2 linked regions of the Oryzias latipes genome follow. The protein of the gene in region 2 binds, or shares a complex with, the protein of the main gene of each other region. Links are inferred from orthologs where the notes say so. Each region holds a gene or a part of one and is shown on either strand. Other genes may lie near its edges.

Region 1 (3,992 bases), on a different chromosome or scaffold from region 2:
TTAGTTTTATCTATATCTATCATTTTGTGTGTTTTCTTAAGTTTTTGTTTCCTTGAAATGAACCAATTCCCATTTTAAAAACAAATATTCCAATATTTCAGGACTTTACTCTGAAGTCAAAAACTATGACGGCCTGTTTATTTCACATAAACATGTATGTTCTCAGCCCAAATATACTTTCGACTCACAATAGCTAATATAAAGTACTGGCATCCAAGGATCCAGCGTCCATAAAACATAAAGGTTTAGGTGTTTACAGTTTAGATTTGAACCCTTTTAGGAAGTTTTTAGTTGTTTCTTTCCGAAAACACAAACTTATCAAGGAAATGAATCAGAATCATGTTGTGACTGTCTGAAAATACAAACCTGTTGTTTTCTTTTCTTTTTATAAAATGTTCAAGAATTTAATTCCTTCAAACTTTATTAATCAAAACGATTCTAAATGTATTTTAAGATGCTGGCAACCAACCTTACCCACAATGCAGCAAGGAATGACTTTAGAAATAAACCGGTAGTTTCAAACGCATTTATTTCAGTGAATTTAGCAAAAATATTTACACAACAGTGTACATATGTACGAGTCCTTAAGCAGAAGAGCTTTTTGTCTCTGCACAAACGGACCGGAGGAAGTCGCTCGCTCGCTCGCGCCGCCCGTCAAGCCGGTCGTCTCTAGTCCAGCGTGCCTGCAGAGAAAAAAATGATACAGTTACCGGATGCACAAACATGTCAATGAAATGTTCCTGTGCACACGCTGTCAGTAACATGCATGTGCAGAAAGAACGTGGGTTTTTTTACCTTCAAGAAATGCAAACTCGTCTACGGCCTCTATTGCGTTGTCTGCAGGGACAACAAAACAACAACAAACGAATGAAACTCAGGAGGAGAAACCACTGAAGTTTGTCAAATGAAACACAAAAAAGAAACTAAATATGTTTGAATTTTAATGAATTTAATGTTCATTTGTTTATTCTACTGTCCCACTCCGATCATCTGTTGATCCATTTTCAAAACCGTCTTTCAATTATAATGATGCCGTTTTTTGTTTGTTTGTTGTTTCGTGGACATATTTTCTGTAGAGTGGCAGGAGTTCAGTAGAAATTCACCTGCGAGTTGTGGGCGGGGCCTTGGGCCATAGCAACCCATTCCCTAACCGTGTCTGAGAGTTCTCTGTTTACATACTCTCTTACATACAGCCCCTCAACCTAGCATGAGCGGTGCAACAGAAATGGCGAGCGATATTGGAGCCATCCAGAGTTTGGAGCCAGATGTGTTCTGTAGATGTTTGTTACTGACAGTGAAGAAGCGCCGCTCAGTCTTACGCCGCTCTTGTTAGCATGTTCTTTATGTCATGGTTATCTGAACAACTGTTCATATGTTTCACTAATTTGAATAGATTCCTCCTATTTGTCATCAAACTAAATACTTTTACAGTAGTGAAGTTGTAAATATTCAGTCTATACCTGCTATTTATTTTAAGATGAAATGTCTGGTATTTTTTACCGTGTTTTGTTAAATTAATTTCTCCCCAAAGTGCGACTTCTACATAATTATTTCTTCTTTTTTATCATTATTATTTGACTTATACTCTGGTTTGATTTATAGGTTGTTTCTGAATTCCCGCCCTAACCCCTAACTACTAAAAAACTATAGAGCGGCTCTATGTAGTGCCCTGGATTTGAAAAGAAATTCGGAGACCAGGCTCACTGCTTCAAATATCGATTCCACAAAGTTAAAATCTAATTAATATGAGCGTTTTATGACGATTATTTATTATGTCTTCTGAAGATAAAAATGTTGATAGTTTAACAAAAAATACATTTTTTGGCAAAAATCGTTCCGACGCAATGCATTGTGGTCTATATTCGCTGATCTAGTGAGCATTGATGCACGCTGGTTTTTGGCAGAGACTTCTGGGAAATTTCTAGGACTCTGGATTTGGGAGATTGTAGATTCAGACAGCACTACAACATGGCGAATGCGTTATCTGGTGAGTAGGGAAGGAATTTGGACACAACCTACAATTCCAAACTCCAGTGCCCTAGAAACTTCCCAGAAGTCTCTGCGAAAATGATGCTCACTAGTTCGGCAAATATCGAGCACAATGCAGAGATGTGGAGCGTCCTCAGGCCTTACCCAGGTCCTTCCTCTGCAGAGTTTTCCTCTTCCCTTGCTGGGCGTAAACCAGAGCATCTTTGGCGATCATCTCAACGAACAACTCCTGGTAGGAAGAAGAGAGAAACATCACCATCATCATCATCATCATCATCATCACCTCTGACCATCATAGCATCCCATGGTGCCGTGCGGGGCCGAACCTTCTCCTCGCGGAGCGGGCTGCGGGTTCAGGGACTCACCGTGGCTTTGGCGATGATAAACACAGACTCTTGGCTGGCGAGGGACACGTCTGGGTCGGTTTTCATCAGGGCTTTGATGCGAGCCAGCGGGAGTTTGGACAGGCGGCTGCCGCCGGGTGCGGCGGGACCCGTCTGCTGCTGCTGGCCCCCGTCCCCCGCTTCCACTCCGCGGTTCTCCTCCTCACTCCCGCACCTGTCAGACTCCTGCTCCGTAGAGGAGACGAGCGCTGCCATTGAACGGGGAGTTATTTTCCCCCCCACCAAAAAGTGATCAAAAAACAGACGCGCGGATATTTATTAAGCTTTCTAACTTCATGACAAAGATAAAAGTAACAAACGAAGGCGAACAGCAGCGCGCCAGCATGTGCTTCCGGTCTAGTAGAGGCACTGCATCCCTATTGGTCAGTTTCCTTTGGTCCCGCCAACGCTTTCAAGTCAATGATTGGACAGATTGGACAACAAAGCCGTATGATTGGTCAAACGTGACTGCCACTCAAACAATGTTACCGCCCAACTACCGACAACTCAGTGGCTCAGTCAAATGTTTATCAGCTGTAAGACTCTTTCAAATAAATTTGGTGAATATAATTTAATCTTTTCATTAAGATTAGTAGATAAAAGAAAAAAGTGGGTTAAAAATAAATTAACAAAACACCAATAAACAAAATGTCCACAAGGTGGCAGCAAAGTGAAGCTAAATATAAAGCTGTTAAAAGCAACAATCTAAACAAAGAGAAATTTAAAAATTACTCCCGAAACTACCTGACAAAAACGGTTTGAAAATATCTGGTACTCTTTTCTTTTGATTATTATGTATTTTATTTTTTCATTTAATCTGTTTTTATTTAAAGTTTCCTTACTGTACATTGCCCCTAATTTTGCATACCCAATAAAAAAGTTAAAATGTTGCAAAGAAAACGCAAATTAAGTTTTATGAAAACTGTAAATATTTTTCAATTATGTTGTCAGAAGACATTTCTTTAACTTTTTTTTGGTCATTTTATTGAGCATCTATATTTAAACATGTGTTTTTTACTCAAGAAAAGAAAAAAGACTTTATCAGAACTGCTGTGCTGTTGCCTCTAAACTCTTTACCTTTTTTTAAGAGGAAAGTGTTTTGCAATGAAACAGACTGTATTTAGCCATTTTAATTTCAATTGTATAAACATAAAAATGTTGGTTTTCTGTTGCTCAGACACACAAAATACAATTCTGCAGCCTCTTATTTCCTTTAGAATTATTGTGTATAGAATAATGCTTAGGAAATGACAGATAATATGTTCAAATGCCAATATTAGAAACAAGAAACTTTGCAGTTGTTTTTTTTAACTTTGCACTCCGAAGAGCTCCGCCCTGCAGGCTGTTAACGACACTGCATTTGATTGCTATACATGGGGGCTGCAGGTAGATATAACTTCTCCTCAACTTTGGGGTCTAATTTAAAAATATGTTTAAAAATATATATTCGCTTGATTTATTCCTTTTTAATTTTTTTTGTAAAGAAAATAAATGACGAGGACAGAAACCCCTTTTCTCATTTTTCCCATTTTTTAAATTTAAAACCAAAAAAGAAATGTATATAATTTCTTTAAATGATGTAATGTTTTTTTCACATGTTTTTCTTTTGCTGCGGATGTT
Region 2 (3,512 bases):
CTCAGCCAGAGAGCCGTCCTCGTTGAACACAGCATACCTACGGAGAAGATCAGTCACTTTTGATCCGTGCTTTTGTCTTTACCCTCCCCTACAACAAGGAGCAGTTTACAAACCTGTACATTAACTCAGCAGCAACAGCGGCCTCACCTCTTCTTCAGCTTCTTGCCTTCCTCTTTAGAAGCAGGCAGGATCATGGCGAGGTACGGCCCGTCCACCTCAAAAAAGATGCTGTTTTCTGCTCTGGTGTTGTACGTGAGCGAAGCGGGGTCGACCAGCTCGTGGTACTGGTCATTAGTGAATCCCTCCTTCACCATGATGTTCAGCATGGCTCCCGGGTAAGAGATGGTCACCTTGGGCTTCTTCTCGTTGCTGGTCTTCACCACAAAGTTCTCAGGAAAGGTGTTGGGGAGGACACACCAGATGCCATCTGTGTCCAACTCAAGGGGTCTCCTGAGTGGTGGAGAATCATCCCACATGGATGTGACGCCTTTCTCACAAGGAAACGTTGCGTAAATGCCTATGGGACTCACCCAATCTGTTCAATGAGCTCTCTGGCCTGAGTGATGATGTTGGCGCCGGTGTAGCACACGATTCCAGCCATCTCCATGGAATACCAGCGTGCCCTGAAAGACAAAAACAGCAACTTTAAGATGGCAAACATCTCAGAAGCAAATCTGACTATTGTTTAATGACCCCCTACCCTTTCCTCATGACGTAACCATAGAAAGAGTTAAGGATGCACTTATGGGCCAGCTGAAGAGACTCGTACAGGATCTCCATGTTTTTGCAGCGCTTCACCTCTGCAGCATCTCCGCTGTCCTGAGCTGCCGACAGCTTCTTCTTCCACACCTTTAACAAAAAATATATATTAGACAGCCAATAATACAGCACTGAGTAAATCACAACTATGACCATTTAAAGTCCAGATAACTCAACGTGATTTATCTTAGAGAACAAACCTTGTGAAGTCCTTTGAATTCATACCGCCGGTCCCTGAAAGCTCTGACTGTATCGACATAAAAAGAGTTTTCTCTCTGACAGATGGTGGTGACCCGTTGCTCCAGCCTGGTGACGTGCGTCTTCTTATAGGCCTTCTTACAGTAGTCTGGCACAGAGAAAGGACACATCCACTTATGCTTTGGGGTCTGCACAAAACCGAAACCTTAAGCAACAGATGCAAGAGACGGACTATACCCGCCAGACGTTTCTTCTCGTGCTTGGCCTGCTCCTCCCGGTTGAGTGTGTGAAAGGCCCGGGGGGGGCCGTTGGGAAAAAGCGGGGGTAGCTTCTCAGACTCGAGCTGCTGCTGGATGCGGTGAAACTCACTGCGACTTGCAGGCACTGCAGGCAGAATGAAAACATTAAAATAAAGTAATCGTTTTTGATTTCCAGAGTTATGGACAGCTTACTGATTTCCCCTCTCCACTGCCAGGCCATCCTCCTCTGACAGGTCGCACCAGGCTTGTTAAAGTCACAGGCAGCACAGGTGGCTTCATCTACCATAGCAGACGGCTAGGAAAAATTCACACAGAGAAGTGAAACTTAAATCCACACTGCTTTACGGTTTGTACTTTTTAAATATAAACTTTACCTGCAGTCGGTTTGTGAGAATGATGTTGGGGTACATCGCTCCGACGTCGAGATGGTAGATGAGTGGGCATTCAATTCTGTTTGGAACCTCCTTCAAGGAAGTCAGCTTCTCTTTGATCTCATCACAAACCTGACAGAACAGTGATCGGGGCTAAAAAGCACGAACCAGCATGAAGAGAACACCAACTACAAAAGGCCAACACACCTCATTGAAATTAGTAACTTGCTCCAGAGGGATTTTCTCCTCCTCCTCGATAGCATGGCGCATAGTTCTTTCAACTCTTTGCAAAAGGAAGTCAAACGCAGCTGGATTCTGTCAACGAGTCAAGCCAAACTGTTAGTTTTAAAAGAGTCGGACTGTGCCGACAACTGGCAAAAAGGGGTGGAGCAAACATGACAGTACCATTTTAAACCGACAGGGAATGTCGCTGCGAAACACTCCCGACTCCAGCGCCTCCACGTGTCCACCCACGTAGGTCTCCGAATCCAAAACATGGCCGTCATCTGTCAGCTTGTTGAAGGCCTGTTCCTGCTTGTTGGGGAACACGATGTTGGCGTGAAAGGCCTGCACCATGAGCAAGGCTTCACACAGAGTCCCGGAACCTTTCCGGAGCACCTGTTGGCGAACAGACCCAAACAGAAAAAAACTAATCATCAGTAAAATAAACTAAATGTTTGGATTTAAGAGTTCTTTTATGAAAATGCTTCTAACAGACCTCATCAGGCTCCATTGGGATGATTGTGCACAGCGCAAAGATGAAGGGGTGAACATATTTCATATACAAATAGTATGTGGCCACTGCGTCTGACACAGAGTATGTGGCTAAGGTCTGAGGAGAAAAAAGCGGAAAAAATGGTGAAAAAAGAAAAGAAATTAAAAATCTATTTAATTTTAAAACTTTCCCTGGTTCTTTTTTTTTTTTAAATACCTGCGGCTCTTCCGTTGCCATTCGGCACATTTCCTCTGGATCCAGCTCAACTGGGTCATAACCCAACTTAGCTTTTGCCGCTGCCTTCAGATTGTGACTCCCCACGGGTAAGTAGCTGTCTCTTTTTACCCACCTGATACATTGAAACAGGAGAAAGTGGTGATAAATCTGTATAATTAAAAATACCGTTCAATATGATACTGTGTCGTTTGTGTTGACACCTTAAACAGTCCATGTGGATTGCCTGGCTGGACTTGTACTCTCCTTGGCTGTCCTTCTGGAAACCGATCTCTCTGTGCATGTTGAGTCCATGGACGGCAGCTCGAGTCTCAACAAAAGGCCTAGAGAGAAAAAAACAAGTCAAAATGATTTGCATTAAAAGTTTTAGTTGCCTATTTTCTTCCATTTTTAAAAACTAAATTCAGATGAAACATCAGATCTTCTTATAATCGGAGTGTTACACGACACTAAAAATCACACCAAAAACCAGATTGTAGAATGTTCTGTGCATATCATGGCGAGGCTTCGTAAACGAAGATTATGAAGAGGGCTGTCCACGTCTTCTACAAGCTCGCTCGTGGCTGAGCAATCCAATATGGGAAAGGCAGATCCTGTAGCAGAGGCTGCAGGTGAAAGTCTGTTCTGGATTCGGTGCAGTCGTGAGGCCGGCTATTCTCATTTGCCGTTTGTCTTTTAGCCTAGTCCGTCGCTTGTCTTCAAAAGAGGAGACAGCGTCTTTGATGTACTGGCGCCAGGTGTCACGGTCTTTTGCCAAAGTAGACCACTGACGATGGTTGATGTTACAAGCACCAAGGGATTTCTTAAGAGAGTCTTTGTATCTCTTTTTTGGTGCCCCTTTATCTCGCTGGCCTGATGCAAGTTCGCCATACAGAGTGATCCTTGGCAGTCGGTGGTCCTCCATCCTGTGTACATGCCCAGCCCACCGCAGTTGCGACTTAAGAAGCATGGCCTCTATGCTTTGGATGTCTGCCC

What was found. Proteins that work in one complex are often made in the same cells at the same time.
Region 1: pole (region 2) and pole4 share a complex: the UniProt entries of both Homo sapiens proteins name them as parts of the DNA polymerase epsilon complex. The link is inferred for Oryzias latipes from reciprocal best matches to the Homo sapiens genes POLE and POLE4.

What each region holds. Positions count from the first base shown.
Region 1 is NC_019862.2:30,739,982-30,743,973, forward strand, and holds pole4 (DNA polymerase epsilon subunit 4), read right to left. Parts: upstream 2,761-3,992; 5' UTR 2,589-2,760; coding exon 2,355-2,588; intron 2,219-2,354; coding exon 2,134-2,218; intron 838-2,133; coding exon 796-837; intron 684-795; coding exon 670-683; 3' UTR 513-669; downstream 1-512. UniProt on the Homo sapiens protein: Accessory component of the DNA polymerase epsilon complex. Participates in DNA repair and in chromosomal DNA replication.
Region 2 is NC_019867.2:13,286,112-13,289,623, reverse strand, and holds part of pole (DNA polymerase epsilon catalytic subunit A), read right to left. Parts: intron 2,861-3,512; coding exon 2,741-2,860; intron 2,653-2,740; coding exon 2,520-2,652; intron 2,421-2,519; coding exon 2,307-2,420; intron 2,207-2,306; coding exon 1,994-2,206; intron 1,904-1,993; coding exon 1,796-1,903; intron 1,721-1,795; coding exon 1,592-1,720; intron 1,513-1,591; coding exon 1,410-1,512; intron 1,342-1,409; coding exon 1,195-1,341; intron 1,106-1,194; coding exon 960-1,105; intron 850-959; coding exon 701-849; intron 624-700; coding exon 531-623; intron 451-530; coding exon 148-450; intron 38-147; coding exon 1-37. UniProt on the Homo sapiens protein: Catalytic component of the DNA polymerase epsilon complex. Participates in chromosomal DNA replication.